Alligator mississippiensis: one gene and its partners. The main gene of each other region encodes a partner of the protein of the gene in region 2 in a complex. Links are inferred from orthologs where the notes say so. Each region holds a gene or a part of one and is shown on either strand. Other genes may lie near its edges.

What was found.
Region 1: the proteins of ASF1A (region 2) and TLK2 are in contact, whole or in part, in a crystal structure (PDB 7LO0), measured with the Homo sapiens proteins. The link is inferred for Alligator mississippiensis from reciprocal best matches to the Homo sapiens genes ASF1A and TLK2. Residues at the interface, in NP_054753.1 of Homo sapiens: Val45, Ala48, Glu49, Glu51, Asp54, Asp88, Val92, Thr93, Val94, Leu96, Arg108, Gly110, Tyr111, Tyr112, Arg145, Thr147, Phe149; in NP_001271262.1 of Homo sapiens: Arg11, Arg12, Gln13, Leu15, Leu16, Glu17, Arg19, Phe20, Thr21, Gly22, Val23.
Region 3: the proteins of ASF1A (region 2) and CDAN1 are in contact, whole or in part, in a cryo-EM structure (PDB 9CVC), measured with the Homo sapiens proteins. The link is inferred for Alligator mississippiensis from reciprocal best matches to the Homo sapiens genes ASF1A and CDAN1. Residues at the interface, in NP_054753.1 of Homo sapiens: Gln5, Val6, Asn7, Asn8, Val9, Val10, Val11, Leu12, Asp13, Pro15, Asn20, Pro21, Phe28, Asp37, Val45, Ser47, Ala48, Glu49, Ser50, Glu51, Glu52, Asp54, Asp58, Ser59, Val60, Leu61, Val62, Gly63, Pro64, Val65; in NP_612486.2 of Homo sapiens: Arg195, Arg196, Ile197, Asn198, Thr200, Val202, Lys390, Leu391, His470, Glu471, Glu472, Pro473, Gly474, Trp475, Asp476, Lys538, Arg541, Arg544, Leu545, Gln546, Arg548, Leu549, Met550, Ala551, Pro552, Gln553, Ser554, Ser555, Arg806, Lys807.

Annotation. Positions count from the first base shown.
Region 1 is NC_081827.1:156,834,441-156,841,366, reverse strand, and holds the start of TLK2 (serine/threonine-protein kinase tousled-like 2), read right to left. Parts: upstream 3,009-6,926; 5' UTR 2,520-3,008; intron 2,152-2,519; exon of another isoform or gene 1,962-2,151; intron 836-1,961; exon of another isoform or gene 833-835; 5' UTR 828-832; coding exon 747-827; intron 1-746. UniProt on the Homo sapiens protein: Serine/threonine-protein kinase involved in the process of chromatin assembly and probably also DNA replication, transcription, repair, and chromosome segregation. Phosphorylates the chromatin assembly factors ASF1A and ASF1B.
Region 2 is NC_081824.1:103,478,033-103,485,308, forward strand, and holds the start of ASF1A (histone chaperone ASF1A), read left to right. Parts: upstream 1-4,240; 5' UTR 4,241-4,383; coding exon 4,384-4,492; intron 4,493-7,276. Other genes in the region: DNA helicase MCM9, read right to left, coding at 1-113. UniProt on the Homo sapiens protein: Histone chaperone that facilitates histone deposition and histone exchange and removal during nucleosome assembly and disassembly.
Region 3 is NC_081825.1:237,163,108-237,170,147, forward strand, and holds the start of CDAN1 (codanin-1), read left to right. Parts: upstream 1-4,039; 5' UTR 4,040-4,096; coding exon 4,097-4,192; intron 4,193-6,244; coding exon 6,245-6,972; intron 6,973-7,040. Other genes in the region: t-SNARE domain-containing protein 1, read right to left, coding at 2,104-2,762, 3,292-3,889. UniProt on the Homo sapiens protein: May act as a negative regulator of ASF1 in chromatin assembly.

The DNA of each region.
Region 1 (6,926 bases), on a different chromosome or scaffold from region 2:
ATTACTGGAGGCAAGGGGCCCTATTAATGAACCTACCGCACTACCACCTTCTGAGACCAACAGCTTGCCCTGAAATTTTCAACAGAAGGGTCACAATTATGCAATTTATTACTGAATGGTTTAGTCAATAGAGGCAACTCTTGATCAGGTACAAAGTTTTATACGAGAACAAACCTAGGATTTCACTATCGAGTTGTGGATCGCAGAATCAGGCAAGCTTACCTCTGAATAAATAGAAGTTTTAATGAATTTAACTGAGCTCACACAATTGCAGGAAGCTGCTCACAAAGTTCTAAACAGACAAGTTCCCAGTGGTCCTAAAAACCCAGTTACATGCTGGATTACACATGGGTTTAAAAGTGTGTCTACCTAAAATACTCAAATTATGTCCCCAAACTTGAGAAAGGAAAAAGATTAATTGGATTCTCATTTCCAGAATAAGCTGTTGTGTTGAACTTTTTATTTTAACTATAAAATGCCAATAAGATGGTAACAGTCCTTTAAAAAAGGAACCTCTTAATTACAAACCTAGGTTTCTTACCATGAAGCCTCTATGTGTAGAAGCAAACATTTCTCACTTTTTCTGTTTCTATGCATCCTGTTACACATACTTTAAGAAATGTAAGTGGACAAAGCTCAGCTATCAATAAGAATCTTTCTGCTATTGAATCCACGCAACTAAAAAAATACGTAATGTGAAAAATGGACCAAACTTTGTGCCTGTTGCTGTGGGTATCTGTACTCACCTTGGCAACACCTACTCCAGTGAACCTGGCCTCTAACAGTTCCTGCCGTCGTGGGTCCAGGCTATGCAACTCTTCCATCATTTCTGCTGCTAAAAGGGAGAGAGAGATGCACTGTAAGTTTATGAAATGCAGGTGTGAGGAAAAGAATGTATGTTCTGATGAAGCTGAAGGGTAATAGCTGTATGACAATTCAGTACAACATAACTTGAAGTAAGATGATTTGCCCCAGATGGTTGTTGTTTTATTTATTTATTTATTTGTTTAACTGGTCATTCTGGAGCTTCATTTTTAACAGCGTCAATAGTTATTTCAAGATCTCTTAATCCGAGTTACAAAATGTTTCTGTATTTTCCTACTGGATGCTTTATTAGAAAGAGGGCTTGGGGCTTTGACATTTCCATCTCTTCTGTACAGTGTAAAAAGCCTTTTCACACCCCAGTTCTCTATATCTGACCACTTCCTGAAGCACTAGATTTCCCCAAACAATGCATTCTTGTGGCAAGAACCTAGAACACACATCCTGAGTTCTTCCAAGCAGGAAAGCGATGGGGAGGAAGGCACTGACGCGCGTTTAAACTTCTCCTTTTAGCCTGCAACATTCCAAACACCCAGGCACTTTTAGCTACATCAGAGGAATTTGCCTACTGGAAGTACCTGGGTACCTCCAGGTGATCACTGACATTGGTGTCATTATACAAAGCATTTAAGAAAACATTCCTCTGTAGCTTGGGCTAATTTCCAAAATGGACACATTCAGTATTAAAGTGAAACGAGGGAGAAATGTCAAAGTTCTTTAGAATTGTGAATCACATCTTCCCAACTGCCCTCGGAGCAAGCCCGTCATTTCCAGAAACGTCTTTTCCAGTTTCATTTCCAGGGCTGCGAACGAGAAAGAGATAAATACACAGGTTTGCTATACGATGAGCATACCCGAGAAGGAAAGTTCCTGAAGGGCAGCAGGTGCCCTCTGGAACAGGCACTGTGCAACTGCTCCTTTTCTGCTTGCTGTCCATTTTGTCCCCACAATCCCTTGTTTCCTCCAAACGCTGCAGACCGAAGTGACAACAAGGTCCTGGGCGAATCCAACTGGGGCCCTTTACGAGAACACGCCCAGCCATGAAAAACACCACAACCCCAAGCTCAATAAGCTGCTAAATTTGATGAATAGAGGGACCTATTTATAAGCACCTGTTTAATAAAGCTTTCAAACGGTACCTTTCCATCAGCAAGCCAGACAGACCCTGGGGGAGGGGGGGCAGAAGCGCCCCCTGCCCCACCCCACATTTTTGATCAAGCCTCCTGCTATAGTGATGCACAGAAATCCTGGGTGATCCCCCAGCAAGAGCGGGGACTAGAGAGGCCGCCCGGGACCACCTGCAAGGCGAGCCAGGGCGGGGGGCATCCCCGGCCCTGCGCTCCCCGGACCCGACCGGCCGAGGGGCTGGGCGAGGCCTGTGCGCTGGAGGCAGCGCCAGCTCGCAGCACCTCGGAGGAGAGGCCGGCGGGCGGGGTCCCGGGCCGGCCTCCCCGGCGAGGTCCGGGGGGCGATCGCCGCCCTGCCCTGCCCTGCCCCGGCCGCCGCCGAGCCCGCAGCCGCAGGCCGCCTCCTCCCACTCACCCGCCGCCGTCGCCGCCTCCACCCGCAGGCCCGGCGGCCGCTCGCCCCCCGCCTCAGCGCCAGGCGGGCCTCGGGCCTGCGCTGACACCGCCGCCCGCGGCCCAGGCCTGCCCCGCTCCCGCTTGCACTCGCGCCCGCCGGCTCCCGGCGCTCACCTGGCGCGGCCGCCCCGGCCCGGATCCGCAGCGGGCCGCAGGAGGGACCCGCCGTGCTGCTCCTGGCTCCTGCTCCTGCGGCGGCGGCGCGGGCGGGCGGGCGGGCGGGGGAGGCCGGGGCGGCTCCGCGGCCTCTCCCGAGCCGGGCACCCGCCGCGGAGGGCGCGCGTGGGGCGGGGGCAGGCCGCGGAGCCCCGGCCTCGCGTGAGCTCCGCGCCCGGCCGAGGGGCGTGCGGGCCGGGGAGGGGGTGGGGGGCGGCCTCGGAGGACAAAGGCCCAAGGGAGGCGGCGGCGGCGGCGCCCGGGCGGGGGGCACGGGGACCCGGGGCGCCCCCGCCCGGCACGGGCAGCCCCGCTGTGGGAGTGGGAGTGAGGGTGAGGGTGGGGGCTGGGCTGGGCTGAGCTGGGTGCAGCTGGGTCCACGGCCCCCCTCCCCCTCGTCCGGCTCGGCTCGGCCCGGCCCGGTAGGGATCGATTGGTGCAAAGACACTAGTGAAAGCGCGTGTACTCTCGCGAGATTTGCACGCCTGGCGGGGGGGAGGTCAGTGCCGGGAGGAGGGGGGAGGGGCGGGGAGGTCAGCGCGGGGCGGGGCTAGTGAGGGTGGAGGGAGGGGCCAGCGATGGGGAGGGGGAGGTCAGCGCGGGGAGGGGCCAAGGCCTGGGGAGGGGGCGGGGCCCCTTGTGGCAAGTGGGGTCAGGGAGGGAGGGGCGGGGGAGGTCACCCTGGGGTGGGGGAGGCCCCGCAGGGGTGAGGGGGCGGGGTCTGGGGGGCGGGCCGGGCGGGCAGCACCAGTGTGCACTGGGGGAAGAGGCTTGGTGCAGGGAGGGGCTAAAATGGGGGGGGGGGTCAGTGCCCATTGAGAAAAAACGGGGAGGGGGCTTCTAGCTCCCCCCAGCTTCTTCCCTCTCCAGTGAACTTAGGGACTGGTGGGAGGGTGCCAAGTGGTGGGGTAAGGCTCAGGGGAGACCAGGATTGCCCTGCTCTCCCACCCCAGGGGGTGCTCCCTGGGGCACTGAGGACAGGAGTTTATGCATCAGGGAGATGAGCCTCAATCCCCCTTCCTTGCTTCCCCCAAGCTTCCTGTGGTTTCAAGAGAAAATTCCTCTCTCTTCCTCACCCCCCCCCCCGGGAATTTCTCCCTCTTCCTGGGCAACAAGGCATCTTGTTTGCAAAAACAGCCTCCTCTCCCCAAGGGAAGATGATGTCCCTCCCAGCCAGGAGCAAGGGGGCCTGAAGGGAAGAGTTCTGCACGCAGAGCATCCCCAACCTCCCAATCACTGTGCCTCTGAGGAGCTGAGAAAAAACGAGACACCAGCAAACAAGTGTACCCCGCACCTCCATTTGGTGTCTTGTAAATCGTGCAGCCTGTCATTCTGACAAGCTTTCCTTATCAAATATGGATAGAACAAGTAACAGAGAGGCTGGGTACACGGAGTGGCTTTGTGTTAACTGTAGTTTGCCCTTGCTCTTTGCAGCTGCTTCTTGCTAGATAGACTCTCACAGAAGGGCTCAGACTGGTTACTGTGGGTAGATTACTTTGCAGTTTGTCCTTATTTCCCTTTCTTCCAAGCCCTGGGGGCACTGTCAGACAGAGTGTAAAGCGCCATTGAAAGGCATTGCAACGCTCTGCTTTAAGGCTGAATCAGCTTTCTGAAAAGCAAACAAACTGGGGGGGGGGGGGGGGGGGGGGGGAGTTGAGGCTTGTTCAGAAAGGAAGTGGCCAGGCCTGTCCAAAGGGAGGCAGGCATGGATTAGGCATTGGAAAGGAAGTTGCTGGGGCTCTGGATAAAGGAGCGGCTTTCTAGAACCGCACTGTAATAGCAGAGAGATTCTATAGTTCGTGCATCTGCAGGTCAAACGAGAGTTACTGAAGTCAAATGTGTTTTACTGCAAATACATCAAAGACATTTTTACAGTCAACCAGGAGTTTACCAGTTTGGCAAGTCCGATGAAGAGTAGGGCTCAGACAATGACATGGTGCATCTGAATGCATGGGAAAAGACAGGCTTGCAGCATTGTAAGGACAGGTGAACTGTTTTGTTTTAAAACAATGGTTAACTTAACAGAGGTACAAGCCATTTTTAACCTGGTCTTGCAAACAAGTTGGAAAGCATCTGCTGTTTCTTACAAACTGCACTTCCTGTACTGTAACCTATTTCTCAGCAGAAGATCCAGGCTGAGGAAGTAACAGCAAACTTTCAGCTCCCTCAGGCAGATGCACCTTAGGACCACAAACAGTGACAGGGCTCTCCAAAAATTATTTTAAAAGCTCTTTTTAAAAAGAACCTTACCTTGTAATATTTCTTAAACCATCTAAATTATTGCAGCAAATGACCATACTCAGTTTAGAGCAGGGTGTCAAGTTGGTGTCAAGCATCTGACCTGCAGAGCTGTACCATCTGGCCTGCTGAGTTACTGGAAGTTGGGAGTATGGCCAGGGTGTTTGGCCTGCCACAGAATTCAGGAACATGGTCATTGGCAGCAGGGGGGCAAGGCTGATACAGCCTTGCTTTGCCCTGCTGCTGACACTTGGCCCCACACAGCACTGCTGGGCCACTGCCATCTCCCCCTGCTGCTGGATCCCTGCCCTCTCACTGCCACTGCTGGACCCCCATCACCACCACCAGACTAACCACAGCCACCACCTGGCCCACCACTGTTGCAGCTGTTTGTCTCACGGAGTCAGCCCAGAGCTCAGAATGAGTTTAACACCCCTGGTTTAGAGGAACATTAGTCAAGTGACATCTGCAATTAACATTGTACAGTTATATTCACATCACACATGCACTTCAATTCAGCATGGAAGAATAGAAAGAGGAAGGACAAGCTTCCGCAACCATTGCAGCCCACCTTTAGCAGCATCCAAGAATCTCCAATTCTTTTGGTTCCCGATGATTCGGTCTTTGGATTAGGCTACAGTTCAGAGACACTAAACTGATGATTGGTGGTTCTGAAGCAATGAGCAAGAGTCAGACCTTCAGTATATTGGATATAGTTGGTATAGCAGCAACTTTCAAACCAGTAGTAGGAGTATACATGATCAATATGGTTCATTTCTTTTGGAGAGATCCTTAGACTGTTTTTCTTCCATTTACTGTTCTTCCTTCAGCTATGAAGTCACATATGTCGTGATTCCTTCCTATTGGTTGTTTAACATAAGAAGCTATGGGTGAAAGAGTAAGATGCACAGGCTGCAATGTCACTGAAGACCTGAAGGCATTCAGTTCCAGATCTTTTTCCCAAGGGGCAGGCAAAGCAAATATCCTGCCCCCCTAGCATTAAGCAAAGTTCAGGACCAGAGTATTTCTGAAAGATATGTTCTAGTCCACTGGTTCCCAAAGCGTGGTTGGTGGATCACATGTGACCTGTGTCCCTTTGATGCAGCTTGCCATCCAGGGGTGCTCCTTTGAAATATCCTTTCAGGGAGTGAAATTTTGGGAAATGACGTGTTCAATGACTTGCATATGAATCCCTGGGTAAGGTCCTGGTGGTAGTTGTTGGCAGGTGGTGGTGAATTCTTATGGCATGCACCTACTTGTGTATCTGTCAGGTCTGGATCAAGCATTGAGGTGGTTGGGAGTGTTTCAGTTAAATGCTCTTTCATTGGAAAATGACAATTTGTTGAAAAAAAGCTTTTGTAAGAAAACTTTTCAATTTTTACTTTTTTTGAAACAAAATACAAAATGAAATTTTCCCTTTTTTTGGTTCAAAACCCCCTTTTTAAACATTTAAGTGAATTACAGTTAAAAAAAATAAAGGCCAAAATCAAAATAAAGTGTTTTGTAATGATCAAAACTAAACATTTCAGTCTTGAATGCCATGGAAGACCCTCCCTCCCTCCGCCCCTGGCTGTATAGATGTTGTAACTTCCAGTTCTATAACTTCAAGAGAAGCTTGTCTGGAAACTTGCAGAGGAGGGAGAGGTACTGGACAGTTTAAGCATTTTCTCTATTATATAAAGACTGGATATTCCAGCAATAGGAACTTTAGAGATGTGTGCCAGAAGTATAGGATCAAATGGAGGCTACCCTTATCCATGGGGGTATGTCAGCCCTTCTACCACCACCTTTTTCCCCTGCAGGGGTATTTCTACAGCATCCTTCTTTCCAGATGATTTCTTCCAAAGATTGCTCCTGCCTCTTTTGGTTTTCTTCAGTAGCAATTGTAGTTCTCCTGCACTGGTCTTTTCTGGGTGCCAGCAAAATCCTTGACACAAGAAATTGTTGAGGCCTGAATTTGAATTCAAGGTGGCAAATATGTGCTAAGTTTTGATGGTTATTTTGATGATGTATGTAAAATGTATTTGATAGCTCTAATGGCAAGTGATCAAAAACCATGTCAGGCTGCAAACCTATTAAAAATGTGTTACTACTTTTTCTGTGCCCCCAGTTTCTGAGCCTTTAAGG
Region 2 (7,276 bases):
TTCCTTGATGCTATTAAACTCATCGATACAGCAAAGACCTCCATCTGCAAGCACCAATGCTCCAGCTTCCAAATTCCATTCACCAGAGTCCTTTACAGCAGTCACTGTCAAACCTGAAAAAGAAATCAGTTTTCAGTCCTTCTTCAAAGTGAATTTGAATAAAAGCTTATTGGCTAGTGCTGGGCAGAGAGAATGCAAACAGCACAAACTCGTCACCCTACAGCTCTGCCAATAACACTTTAGGTATTGCAGACCCCTGGGCATGATATCCAGTTATTATAGTCCATGTGTTCCTGGGTCTGTTGGGCAAATTCTGTCAAGCAGGGCACATTTTGTACTTGTGTTTTTATGATAAGAAAGAAAGGTACAAAATGTGATTAAAGGTGATCCAACTAAATTTGTTAAATTGATTTTAGGTGCAAACCTGAACTGTCAGCAAAGTTATACCATGGATACATGCAACCCACCATCAACTTTTAAAAACACAGTGGAACATAAAAAGGCTATACAACAAATATTAGAAAATTAAAATGTTTTTAAATGTCATTTGAGAGAGATTCATTCATGAGTTCAGGAAGCAGGAAATGGAACTGATAAGCTCTGTCAACATTATATTTTGATTAGGGGGGCAAGAGAGTTTCTTTTTGAGATATTAGGTTCATTTGAACATTAAACTCAAATGGAAACTGGAGGGATGGAAATCAAACTCATTCCCAGCAGGCATATGGAAATGGAAACTGTATGTAACACAGCTCTAATTAACCTTCACAGAACTGACAGCATGAAGAGTATGAAATGACACCTTATGTATATTTTTTTTTTTTTTTATCAAGACTGCTAAACGTTTATTGTTTTCTAGCTAATAAGTTTTTTCTTTAATACACTACTCAGTATCTAAAAGTGGGGTCAACCTTGGGACAAAGTTAATAGTACATATTTATGTAATATAAGGATATCTGGATTTCAGCGATAGCAATTAGAACTGCTTTCCCCTCTCAAACATCTGCAGCTCTCCTCCACTCCTCACATCTTCTTCACAACTTTTATCTCTTTTCTTCATTTTTGGGCCTTTTCTCCCTCCCCACAAATTCTCTCTCTACTCCACTACAGTTTGGCTCACAAATGGCTCAATAATCCACACCCCATGACTCTAATCAACCTGAAGCTCTTTAGGGGCGTCAGGGATACAAACAGGGTGTTTGTGCCCGAAAGCTTGCAAGGAACAATTTTTCCAACTATTTAGTTTGTCTAATAGAAGATATCAGATTTACCCAAAGAACCTTGTCTGCCTATGCCCTTAGGCCAACATGGCTACAACGAACAACCTTAAGGACATGACAATGGGTCCAAATACTTTAACAGAGCTCTGACGCTGGAAGTCACAGCCTACGGCTGGAACATAGTTTCTGCCAGTGAAGTTGTGTCCCCAAACAAGCAGTGAAGAGGCACTGAGCATGGATATCTCTCAATAACGCACTGCATATTATTGGGAGGTTCATTATGAAGAATGTCTTTCACATCGTCCTATCTTCCCTGATTCTCTTGGATTTTCATATGTAGGAGCAACTTAAGCAGTCTACCACCCTGCTGGTTTAAACAAGGTAGACAGGTATAGAAAGCAGTGGGTGCATCTACATGTGCCATGAGCATGTAGCAAACTCCAGTGCAGTATGCACCAGAGTTTAATGCACCTGGGCGCAGTGTTTACATGTGCACCCAGGGATGCAGTATGCTGAGCCAGGGGTGGAAGAGCCCTGGCTGGCATGGCTTGGGGGGGGTAGGGGGGGTCAGCCTGCCAGCTTGGAGCTGCTCTGACCTTGCTCAACCTGTTGTGGAAGGGCTGGCTGGGGCGTGAGGGAGCTGCAGTGTGGGGGTTAGCTGGCAGGCAGCCCCTGTGCTGTAGCATCCTTGTGCCCCAGACAGCCCTGGTCACCATCTATACATGCATTTTGGCGCATGTAACTACTCCACTGTAAGATAGTACTTGTCCTAGACAGTACTATTCTACGGTGGAGTTAATTAATTTACTGTACCCTAATCAGGGTATATATGTAGACGTTTTACTATGGAGTTAATTAGTCAGCTCCACAGTAAAGCGCACACGTAGATGCACTCAGCAGTGATCCCTGATTGTGTGTATACGACAAAAGAACTTCCCTGTAAAGTAGAGATCAAGATTGCCCACTCCCTTGGAAAGACTTCTAGGAAGGAACCAACCAAGAGGAAATCTTGATATGATCTTGGGGACCAACTCAAGTCCAAGGACCTCAGCATAGAGCTCCTGTGCTCTTCACTGAACTCCAGTCCTCCAAACCCCTCCCTGGCCTCCTTGCCAGCATGGCTCAGCCTTTCAATGCAAACAGTTGGCCTACACAGTCTACTGTACTCAAGGGCTCAACTCGGAAATTAACAGTCTGAACCTGTATTTACTTCAGCAGTTTTTCCCCTCTGGAGTTGGGGAAAACAACTGGCAATCCCCCCACCCCGTGTCATATTCTGCCCCTCTAGCTACCGGATCCCTGACCCTGCAGGAGACAAGGACACCCACTGGTTGAGTTGCTATTCCATCCTCCATGTGCAATGGTGTGAGATTTTCATGAGGGAAGGGCCCTCTTGGTGCGGGCCTCCAAGGACAGGGCAAAGCCTCTGTATATCACTTTCCAATTTAGGATCTTGCCTCAAAGCATTCTGATTTCTTCTTTCACATTTAAACATATGGATCTGTGAAACTTGTAACAAGCTGCACGGCTCTCCAATTGGGCTTGTCAGCCACAAACAGATTTATCAGGCATCTGACAAGACCTCTTACATGTACACCAGGATCCAGAGAATCAACCATTGCCTACTATGTATGCAATATGTTCATGTAAACATAGGACAGTAGTGAGCTACAGACAACTGAAACTGATTTTTTTTGGCAGAACCTGTTTATGCGACAGTCGTCCTAAAGCCGAGGTCTCTTTGACTACCTAAATGGTAAGTCAAACCATCTAAAACACAGGCTTCTCCAGGCCCAAAAAGAGCTGCTTGGGCTGACCCTGAGCCAATAGGGAGTTCCTGCAGAGTCATGACCCACAGTAGCTATTTCTCCATACCCTCAAAATCCAAACCCTAATAGTACCTCTCTTAGTGAAATCCCCATTTGGAGAGAACACCCTCAGACCCAATATGAACATGAACTTGCAGCCCTTCCTCTGATTGGTAGCCACCAGTCAAGGGAAGAGCCCCATTGACTTCAAAAGATCTGAGCAAGCAAGTGCAGCACTTGCAAAAGGGTTGCAGGTTTGGCTCCTTACGTTCTGGGGGTCCCAGAGATGCTCCATGGTACCTAAAGGGTCAGCACAAACATTTGATCACAAGAGAAGAATTGCTGCTTATGTGTCTGTTTCCCTCAGTGAAAATAAAAAGTTATTTTCAACATCCAGCCACATTATACAGGTATAAAAATTATATAATACGTATATTAAATGTATATAGTTATATACAGGCAACCCCCACTTAACTCTCTTTGGCTTAGCGCTATTTCTCTATAACGCTCATTTAAAATTGATACCCTATTCCACTTGGCGCTCAGCGAGTTTTGTTACAACGCTCAAGGTCACCATCTTGGGTCATTAAAAACAATTGTGGTTGCCATCTTGGGTTGTCAAATACTTTTGGTTTCACTTAATGCTGGGTTTTTCAGGAACCATATAGGGTGCTAAGTGGGGGCTGCCCGTATACATGCATAGAAATGATATAAAATGCATATTTGTATCTACTCTCTTTCTCCCCACCTCTCCCTCCCCCTCTCCATCTCTCCCCATTTCTTCCCCCTTCCAACTCTTTCCCCATTCTTTTTCCCCCCTTCAATGTCTCTCTCTCTCCATCTTCTATACACAGACAAGAAGAAGAAGAAAGGAAAACAACCCTGCCTTTGGAAAAGGGACAGAGCTGGAAACGAAGCCGCCGGACAAGCCAAGCCGCGAAGAGACCCGACAGCGGCGTCAGCCACGCTGTGGGGCCGGCTCCTCCCTGCGCGCCTGTTCCGCGGGGCTCCGGCAGAGGGAGACGCGGCCAGTCGCGGCGCCGCGCGCTGCCGCGCAGCCTGTCTTGACCGTGCGGAGCGGGCGGGGCGGGGCGCGGGGGGCGGGGCTCGGGCCCGCGGGCCAATCGGCGCCGGCGCTGTCCCTTAAGCGAGGAGAATGGGGCGGCGCGGAACGGACTAGCGAGGCGGCGGCGCGCTGCGGGCGCGGGGAAGGCAGGCGGGCCGGCGGACAGGGGGCGGGGGAGCGGAGAGGAAAGAAAAGAAAAGAAAAGAAGGAAAGAAAGAGACGACAAGAAAGTTGCGGGCGGGGGGAGCGCGCGGGGGCCCGAGGCCGGGCGCAGCCCATTGTGCAGACCATGGCCAAGGTGCAGGTGAACAACGTGGTGGTGCTGGACAACCCCTCGCCCTTCTACAACCCCTTTCAGTTCGAGATCACCTTCGAGTGTATCGAGGACCTGTCGGAAGGTGAGGCCGCCCGCACCCGGCGAGCAGTGGGGCAGGGTGGAACCGGGCGGCCCGGCTCGGGGGCAAGTTGCGAGGAAGTTGTGCGAGTGGCGGGAGCCATGTTGCCAGCTTTGTGCGCGCCGGCGCCGGCGCATCGGGGCCGGGAGGCGGGCTGCGAGCGGGGTCGGGAGCTGCCGGGCTGAGGAGCGCGGGAAGCGGCGGGACCGAGCTGGGAGGAGCTGCCGCCTTCCCTTCCCCTCTCCGGGCCGCGCTCCCCAGCCCCGCGTGGTGGAGCGGCGCTAGCCGCAGCCCCTGCTCCCGCGGCGGCCTACGGCCCCCCGAGCCGCCCGGCCTCCGCTTTGCCCGCAGGCCGGCCAGGCTCTGTGGGGAGAGGGGGTGTCTTGCACCAAATAGTTGGGGGAACTGCTTTTCGGGGCACCAGCACCCTTTTTCAGGGGCAGGGAGAGAGCGCTCTGCCTGCTCCTGGATGGAGCAGGAGCCGACATACAAAGCCTGTGCCTGAAGAAGGGCGTTAGTTGGAAAAAATGTTTTTCAAGGCACCAGTGCCCTCGCACGCTTTGTATGTCGGCTCCCGCTCCCTCCAGGAGCAGGTAGAGCGCTCTCCCCATGCCTGAAGAACACTGGTGCCTGGAAAAACACTTTTTCCAACTAACGCCCTTCTTCAGGCACATGCTTTATATATTGGTGCCTAGAGAAGGCAAAACACTCTCCCTGCACCTGAAGAAGTGTGTTGGTGCCCCCAAAAACATTTTGTGATAGACTAACTAAATAGTTGGAAAAAACTGTCACCTTTACCCAAAGACGCTCAAGTCAGAAGGCACGTGGTGCTAGACTGGCTGCCAGTGGGCAAGTGGGAAGAAGGCCCTGCCAGGCCTGGGGGAACGGGGCCACTCTCAGTGCTGTCTCTGGAGGACGTCCTCCCTGGGGCAGTGCTGGGACAGGCTGGCAGAGGCTGCTCCCCCAGCCTCTCTCTAGTGATTCTTAACTGTTTCAGATGGGGGGGGGTGTGCTAACCTGGGGGATGCCAGTGCAGTCACACAGGCAATGGGGGGAGGCTAACCTGAGGCACCTCATCACCTGTGTGACTGGACTGGCACCCCCCAGCAACGACTGCCGGGCCTTGCTTACTTCCTTGCAGGGAGGAGCCTGAACCTGCACTCCTCTTGCACCTCAGGCACCCTTTAAAGGATCTCACATCCTCAGGGTACCAACCTCCTGGTTGAGAAACACTGTCTTGGTTTAAACAAGGTTTGGCCCAAGCCCCTGTGGATGTGGCAGCTGGTGCACCAGTGCCACAGCCTGTTTTTAAAGTCTGGGAGCACTAGCAGACAGGGCATATTACCTGGACCTGTGTGCCTAGGACTTCTGCCCCTCCTCTCCTGCTCTTGTGTATTTAGCTCATATTCATTACTAATGGATTTGCGTATTGAAGCAAGGATGGTTGGCATCTCAATGAGCCAAAATTTAAAACTGCCTGCTTGCTTACTTAGCAATATTAGGCTCCTGTTTTCAACTAGGAATGAAAAGCACACTACCGTTTTTCACATCCCTGCCTATTACAAGTACAGATTTTTTACTTTTGATTTTGATTTTTTTTTATACAGGTCGTTAAAGTTACAGAAAATACTAATACATGTAGTGAAGGAAGTTGCTGTTGCCTTATTTTTAATTACTACTATCCAAATACTACAGGACCTGCTGCTCGCCCCCCCACTCCCTGCACCATGTTTAAAGGGCTCGATTCGGGCAGGGAGCCCCTTCTTGGCCAAGTGGGGGGAGTTCCTGGTCCCAGGGAGGGAACCCAGGCATCCCCAGCATGTGCTGCCCCCACCCCTACAGCTCAGCCCATGTTATTTCAGTGAGTTTATACTAGAGTTATCTGCAATTCTGATTTTTTTTCAATGGATCAGGGGGCCCCCCAAAATTGTGGGCGGGCCCTGATCAATTTTTCTCTCCAAATGTTATTTAATTTTTAAATGGAGTCCATTCAGTTATGCCAGTTTAAGATTCCTTGCATCCATCAATACCTTTTTAAATGGTTTTAACTGAAAAGTTTTATGCTTTAAAATGTACCACTTAAAAAAAAAAAAAAAAAAAAGTTGCAAAACAAGTTGTGGTTTGTAGATAATATAAGCTATCAGTCCACAATTAATTTTATACTGGCTTAATAACTTATAATAAATGTGTTCGAGAGAATCTTAGCCTTTGCTGTCCTCTCCTCATAAGACTTAAGGCGCTGTCCTCAATAGGACAGCCAGACTGGGTCAGGTCACTAGACATTTTTGTCTGGTGACTTGTCTTTGCAGTAACCCAAACCAGATGCTTCAAAGGTAGGCAAAAACAACCTAGTTTGGCACACTAAGCTGGAAGAAAAATTATGTCACCTTAAAAGATAAATATACATACAGAAGGGCTATAGTAATGAGGACAAGTAATAGAGCAGATGAGTTTTGTAAAGTAGTTGGAAGCTCTTTTTTCTTTAGGTTCTAGCTGTGCTGAAAAAGTTCCAGCATAGCCCCTTCCTTGCACCTGTGCAGAATGCTGTTGAAGGTAACAGCTGGGGTTCACCCACCCTACTTGCTGCTTATGCACAATCTTCAGTGCATTATTCGGTACTGAAAGATAATACAAAAATATTACTTTTTTTTTTAAAGGCTATCTTGAAATTGCTCCATCAGTTTCATGTATGTCATGAAATAATCACCAATGTTATCTTTCAGTTAGACTTGCTCATAATAACAACTAGAGGCATTTTTACACATGCGCACACCACAGTGCCAGCCG
Region 3 (7,040 bases), on a different chromosome or scaffold from region 2:
AACCACCGATTTATTCTTTAGAAGAAAGGGGAGTAACAGAGCAGTGACTGCTGGGGTAAGGAGCGTTACTGAATAGCAAATTGCTTTCCCCTTGCCCTCTTTTTGTAAAATAGTAGGTGGAAGAAATGGCAGCCAGAGAATTTGGATGTGATATATTCCTGCTACTTATATTTTTCCAGCTGTTTTGTTCATGTCTTGGGTGATGTGGTTTTTCTTCAGTAATACTGGAGATTCAGCCCTGCTTGAATCAAAGTGTTTGTGAGTACGATCAGACCCTGTCAGGATGCTTGCACAGGCTAGAAGGCGAGATCTGCCTAATGCTCACCTTGAATTCTTTTCATAGGCTTTAATTTGTGGATGCTGCTTGGAACTCTCTTAAAGAAGAGTCTTTGCATTACTCCTCCTTATTGTTGGCACCCTTAGCAGCATTTAACTTAAAAGGACTTTGTTGGCCTGCAGTTATAACAGGCCATTTCCCTAAACCGCAGAACATTCAGAACTGACTGCAAAAATACTACCTTCTTACTCCACAGATCCTTGTGCTCCATCAGGCAGGAGAAACAGAGTTGGATTCAAGTCCCTCTGTGTATCATCTGTGTTTGCTAATTTCCAGTTACAGGATCCATTCCTTTTTGCTTATGCAAAGTAACACTGTAGGCACAATTAGACCTGCAGAACTCGCTTGTATTGGTGATACCTGAGAAGAAAAAGAGCCTAACTGATATTTCAAATCATAGCATACAGCCACAGGATGAGAGAGATTACAGAGTTATTTTTGTTTTCCATTGGGACATTACAAAAATAAACAATGTACCTTTGCTCTTTTTACAGTCACTTTTTAAAGTAGGCCCATACTAACTAGAATATTTCCTGTTACATGGCTGTGGTTTTTCTTATTTTAATACTCAACCAAATGAAGTCATCCATTAATTTTGCTTTTTCCATCAGGATAAATAACTCACAGTTCTCCTCTGCTTCTATTTGACTTCAAGGGTCCTCCAAGCCTCATGCACAGGTACAGGATATGGTATTCCTAAACCATTTCAGACAGATACGAGTTAGCATTTAGGAGTTCCTTTCTCTTTAGACTCCCCCTGGGGATATAGTTAAGAGAATGGAAGATCTTTAGATAAATCCTTAGGAAGAAGGAAGGCTTCTTCAAGAGCCAGGAGAGAGGCTTGGCTCTGCTGAACCCTAACACCCTTTGCAGCACATCTACACTTAGTTCTGGATAGCGCAGAACATCAGTTAGGGCTGCCCCTTTGTCATCTCAAATGTTACGGCACTTGGTCCCAGCTTGGATTTACTGAAGACAGAGATTGATGATAACCTGTAATTGCAAGTATTGCTTCATAGTGTGAAAAAGTTTCATTCATTATATTTGATACACTTTTCCTCAAGATATCTGACAAATAACTGCCTTCACTTTTATTTCATTAAAGCAAAATGCTTCTGCAGGGAAAGTGTATTTGAGGAGCTGTACTGAACAGTGACCAGATGGAGCAATGCTAGATGAATGATAAGTAGCAGGATGAGGGATCAGTGGTCTAATTCTATGCCATCCCCAGAGCAGGTAAAGCTGCCAAACCCCTTGTGATGCTTTGCACAGCCTAGGTTTAAGAAATTAGAAACACATCCAGTAGTTAGAAACAGCAGATACTAAATTTAAAGTCAGTTATTTTTGCAGTTGGATTTAAAGAACAAGCAAACAACTACACAGCAACTTGTATAACAGATTACACTCCTGCTATTCAGTAACTGCTCTTACCTTTCACCCTACTTCATCATGCCTTTTATTTTCAAAAGGTCACATTGAGTGAAAGAGGATACAGACAAGTGTCTTGGTCAAAATAATTTTGATTTTTTTTTTTTTTAAAGTGGAAGATGGTGAAGAGAACAGCAGACAGACAGTAATCAACTGCAACACTTAAGAGTTAAGAAATGGGAGACTTGTAGTTAGTGTTTAATGCCACCTACTGTAAAACTTTTCCCACTGGGAAAAAAAAAAAGAGTGGGAGGCAAGTCCAGTTTGCTCCATCAGGCTGGAGCAGAACATAAAACAGCACCTCTAACACCACAGTCACTATTACATGTATTCAAGTTTTACACATCTGCAAAACAGAAATAGTAGCAGCCATTGGGATGTTCTTTCTTAATGGTTCTCAAAGGGGGTCTGGGAAACTCGGAAGGGCCTGGCTCTTGAGACATAGAGCTGGAACTGCAGCTGCTGCTTCTGCTGCTGCTTCCAGCCACCTGTGCTCTGCCCCTGTCCTCAGCTGGGGATATCTGGGGAGATGCAGGGCTCAGGTACCCAGCTGTGGTCTGAGTGGAGACAGTGGCATAGGTGGTTGGGCCCGTGTTGTTTTTCACGTAGACATTTTTTATAGCCACCAACGTGTGCGCCATGATGCTGAGGCTATTGCTGAGATCTTGTATGCCTTGCTGCAGCAGCCGAAGATTGTGGTTAACATTGTCAAAGCCAGACTGGATCACCTGCATCTGGGTCTGCTGCATCTGTATTAGGTCCTCTTCAGTAATTTCATTTTGGTCTGTCTGGGATCGGCCTTTTGTTTTAGCTTTTCCTTTCCCAGAGGAGCTGCCAGAAGATGACCCCAGAAAAGATAGTTGTTCCTGGCTGGGTGGAACCACAGCCATGTCCTCCAAGCTTTCCTCTGGCTCCACTACCTTCACTACTATTTCTTCTTTTAGGTTCATCTTGTCAAGACTGGATTGGTGAGATGGTCCGGGGTCCTCAGCAAACCCTAAGGACATGGCAGATGGGGAGGAGAGGGAGAGAGAAGTCATTAGATATCCTTGCTTCCACAATCAATTGTGCTTCTACCAGCCCAGCAAACCCTTATACCAAACCTTGAGCCAGGGTCATTTATTTGTAAGGGGACCCACACTTGTGCTTCCAAGGTGCTATGATGAAGAGGACTCCTTGCTTTTAGCACAGGGACTCTCTCCAGGCTGGGTGAGGAATTAAACATGCTCACAGGCCAACTTTGGCACAGGTCTCAGGCTGGGATCCCTTCTCTGCCTGCCCCCCACCACCCCCCATGCAGAAATGAAGCTGGTGGAGAGCTCTGCTGTGACAAGGGTTAGGGGCTTATCTCCTCTGCTGCTTCCCGAAGTAAGCCCTCACCCTGCGGCCCACCGCCTGGCCCAGACGGGCTCGGGCCCTTCCCGCAGGCGCCTGCTGGTCCGGGAGAAGGGGGGTGAGGCAGCACCGACAGTCCCTCAGGGGCCCGAGCGCCGGCCGGCTGCAGCCCCCTCCCGCCGGGGACTCACCGAGGTCCAGCACGGAGGCGCCGGGCAGGTCCAGCGTATCGATGCCGCCCACGATGGGCACGGCCTCGGCGGCAGCGCCGGACAGCAGCGAGGCGTAGACGCGGGGCGCGGGCGGGTGCTCGGGCGGCGCAGGCGGCGGGCAGTCGTCGGGGTCGAGCAGCAGGCCGAGGCCAAGGCCGAGGCCGAGCCCGAGGCCGGGCGGCGGCGGCGCGGGCGGCGGGAGGCGGCACAGCTTGCTGCGGTCGCGGCGCTTCAGGTCCCGCCAGCGCTTCTTGAGGTCCTCGACGGCGCGCGGGCAGGCGGCCACGGGGTTCACCTTGTGCCGGATCAGCTCCCACACGCGCCGCTTCTGGCCCGGCGACGCTCGGCCTGGCCCGGCCGCGAACAGCAGCTGCTCGTGCTTCAGCACCTGCTCGATCAGCACCTCCGTCTCCGCCTCGTTGAAATTCGCCTTGCGCCGCTTCGGCGAGTCCTCTGCCATCCTCCGCCCGCCGGCCCCGGCCCCGGGCCCGGCCCCCGCGCGGGAAGCAAAGACCGCGCATGAGAGGAAAAGACGCGCGAGCGCCGCGCACGCGCCCCGCGCCCCGCGTGTTGACATGGGGGGGGGCGCAGGCCCCGCCCCTGGGCCAGGGCTGCGGCCGCGCGCCGTGACCCCGCCCCCGCTACTTGGCGCCCGGCGCTGCAGGCCCCGCCCCCTCCCGGCGTCCTCCCGCGCGGTCCCGCCCCGCCACTCCCCTTCCCTCCCGCTGGCGCGTGTCCCCGCGCCCCGCGCTCGCCCGCTCTGCCCCGCCCCGCCCCCCCGGGAATGGCGGCCGCGCTGGAGCTAGTGCTGCGAGAGGAGGTGGCGCCCGGCGCCCTGGTGCACTGGCTCAAGCACGACCCCGGGCGCCGCTCGGCCGAGGTACCGCGGGTCCCGGGGAGGGGGCGCCGGCCCCGGCCCCGCCCAGGAGTCCCCCTGCTGCCCAAGGCCGCGCCGCGAGCCTGAGTCCACCCCCGGCGGGGCAGGGCCAGGCTGGGCTGTGGGGAGACGGCGCCCGCCCCGCCACTGCGTTGACACTTCCCGTGAGGCGGGAGGCCGTCTCGGCCCGCTGGGCTTGTGGGGGGAGGGAAGGGGCGGCCCCGCGGGCCCGGGTCTGTCTCCCCCTCCCGCCTCCCTTCACACGAAGCCTGGCCAGGGATTGTAGCCGCCTGCTGCGAGTGTGGGGCCCAGCGCCAGCTTCGTGGGAGTTGGGGAGTTACAGTCCTTGCCGCTCCACAGCAATTCACAGCTGCAGTTTGGGGGTCAATGGTGGCGGCTTGGTTGTCAGCGCTGGCGCCCAGCGGGGTGTGTGGGTGCGGGTGAGCTGTGCTTCAGTAACGTCTCCTATCAAACGGGCGGTTGTACCTCTTGGTAGCAGCTCAGACTGTCTCCCTTATTATGTAATGTAGATGAGGTGTATCCCCAGCTTCATGGGTCTTGATGACTGGAAGAGGCTGCTGCCTGACCCTTAAAAGTTGATCAGTTGTTCCTGTATCAAGCCCATTTAGCTGAGGGGGAAGCTGAGGAGCTGGAAGGGGTACTTGTTTTGCTCCAACCCACGTGGCAAGCTTGCATCTGAGCTAACAGAGCCCAGGTCTCCTGATTTTCCAGTCTTGTGCATTATTTCTCCGAAACATAACAGAAGAGCAGGGAGAGTGAGTTTGCCATGTTAGTCTGAAGTCAGGCAGAAGGTAGGGCACAGTGGGGCACCTTAGTTACAGGCTCACTTCTGCCAGTAGGACAGTGGAGAGAATAAGTGGCTTTTTAAAAAATCTGAGATGAGTCTTAAGTTTGGTGTAGTTGGCAACTGAAGTTTGTTTCTGCTCTCAAACGGTCCTTCCTTACCCCCACGATCCGTGCCCCTGCCAGAACAAATACGTCCAGCAAAGGAAGATTGTGATTCCTCCACCTTTTTTCCTAAGAAAGCTTTCCTTAAATACAGACCCTCTGCTCTCCTCTGAATATGTTGCTTTCTGTTTCACATGGGGAAGGATCACAAAGCTTTTCCCTTTTGAATAGGATCTAAGGGGAGAGTGCGAGTACAGTTGCTCTGCCATTAGTAAGAATATGAATGGCTGCCCCACAAAGTTCCAGCATTTTTGTTACAAACTTTGCCTACTTCTTTTGTGAGGAAAACAAATGTTATCTACTGAAAGACCAGCAGAACCTTTGTCCGTCGTTGCATGAAACAATTTAGGTTATGTTTTAGTGATATATAACAAACATTTTCCTGGCACTATTCTTAGATAATTTACAGGTGTTATGCTTTTAAGTTAAAGTTTAAAAGATGTTAAAGTTACATTTTTATTTAGTTTTCTTGATTGCAAGCTTTCTGCATCACAAACCTTATAGCAATCTGTATTTTCACTTCTGTGGTTAGTATGATTCCACTGAAATATAATCATGTAAATTTATGTATCGGACAGAGTAGAATCTCAGATTGGTGTACAAATGTTCATTCTTACAGCACCCCTATGAGGAAGCAAGTGGTATTAGCAGAGCACTGGGGCACGAAAAATTACCAACCATATGCATTATGAATTAATTTTGGTTATCAGTGTCTAGTGCCTTACATAAGACACCTAAAAAAGGCCTTATTTCAAACTGCAGATCATCTGTAGTGCTCTTATGCTAATGGGGACATTTGAACAAAATAGGCCCTGCTGATCTGCAATAGGGCAGCCAGATAAACAAAAGCATCCACTCCATATCTGGCCCAAAGTGGACTGAGGACTAGCTGTCAGATCTGGGAAGAGAATCAAGAACTCATCAATCTCGGTGGCTTGCTCTGACTATTAAACACACTTCTTCAAGCTAAAAGTATTAAAAACCCCTAATTACTTTTAATTTATGCCAGCAATTTGAAAGAGAAAAAAAATGATAACCCCTAGTTTTGGATATCTTTCATTAATGCTTTGTCCTCTTTTCTTGCAGGAGAACCATATCCATGAAAAGCTGGTATCTCTTAGTTTGCCTCAGAAAGACTTTGTGCCTTTCTTCTTGAATTTTTTAAGGGAGCAAACCGGTCAGATCCTGACCAATGGGCCTTCCACCCCTGCAAAAACACCGAATTCCAAGGCCCTTGGAAACTCTGCTGGCCGTGGGAGCCAAAGGAGAGGCTCAGAAAGGAGGGCAGGAAACACAACAGGGTCAAGCAGCAGCCGAATGCAGCTCTTTACCCAAAAAGGCTCTGCTAACTCCTGTTCCCCAGATACCAGCTTTGCCCCTTCTGCTGTGTCAGGTGGCTCTCCTGCATTTACTGGATCAAACCTGTCTAGCCCCAGCAGTGATTTCCCTAGTGTGGTCTCCAGTGTGAGCCCAAGCTTTGGTTGCAGCCCTGTATTTAACCACAGTGAGAGGCGCTCAGCTCAGAAGGCCAACTTGGGGAACTTTTTTGTGGCCATGCCAGAAGTTCAGCCGACAAGGCGAGGCAGAAGAAAGGGCAACAGCTCCACCAGTACCTCTAGCCGGCAGGTGGCTCGGGATCTTGGACGATGTCTTGCTGATGAGGAGGATGGGAAGAGTGATAACACTTCATGGAGTGGAGGGAGGAAGAAGCGCAATGAAGTGTTGGGTGTCTCTGCCAGTTCCCCACCTGATCAGCTGAACCTCAACAACTTGGAGGAGTTCCCACCCATGTGCGCTTCTTCTGGCTTCACAAAGTAAGAGCATCATTATTAACTGCTGGTCTATTTAGAAAAATAGGACAGGCTGTTTTCTGGGAGAGCTG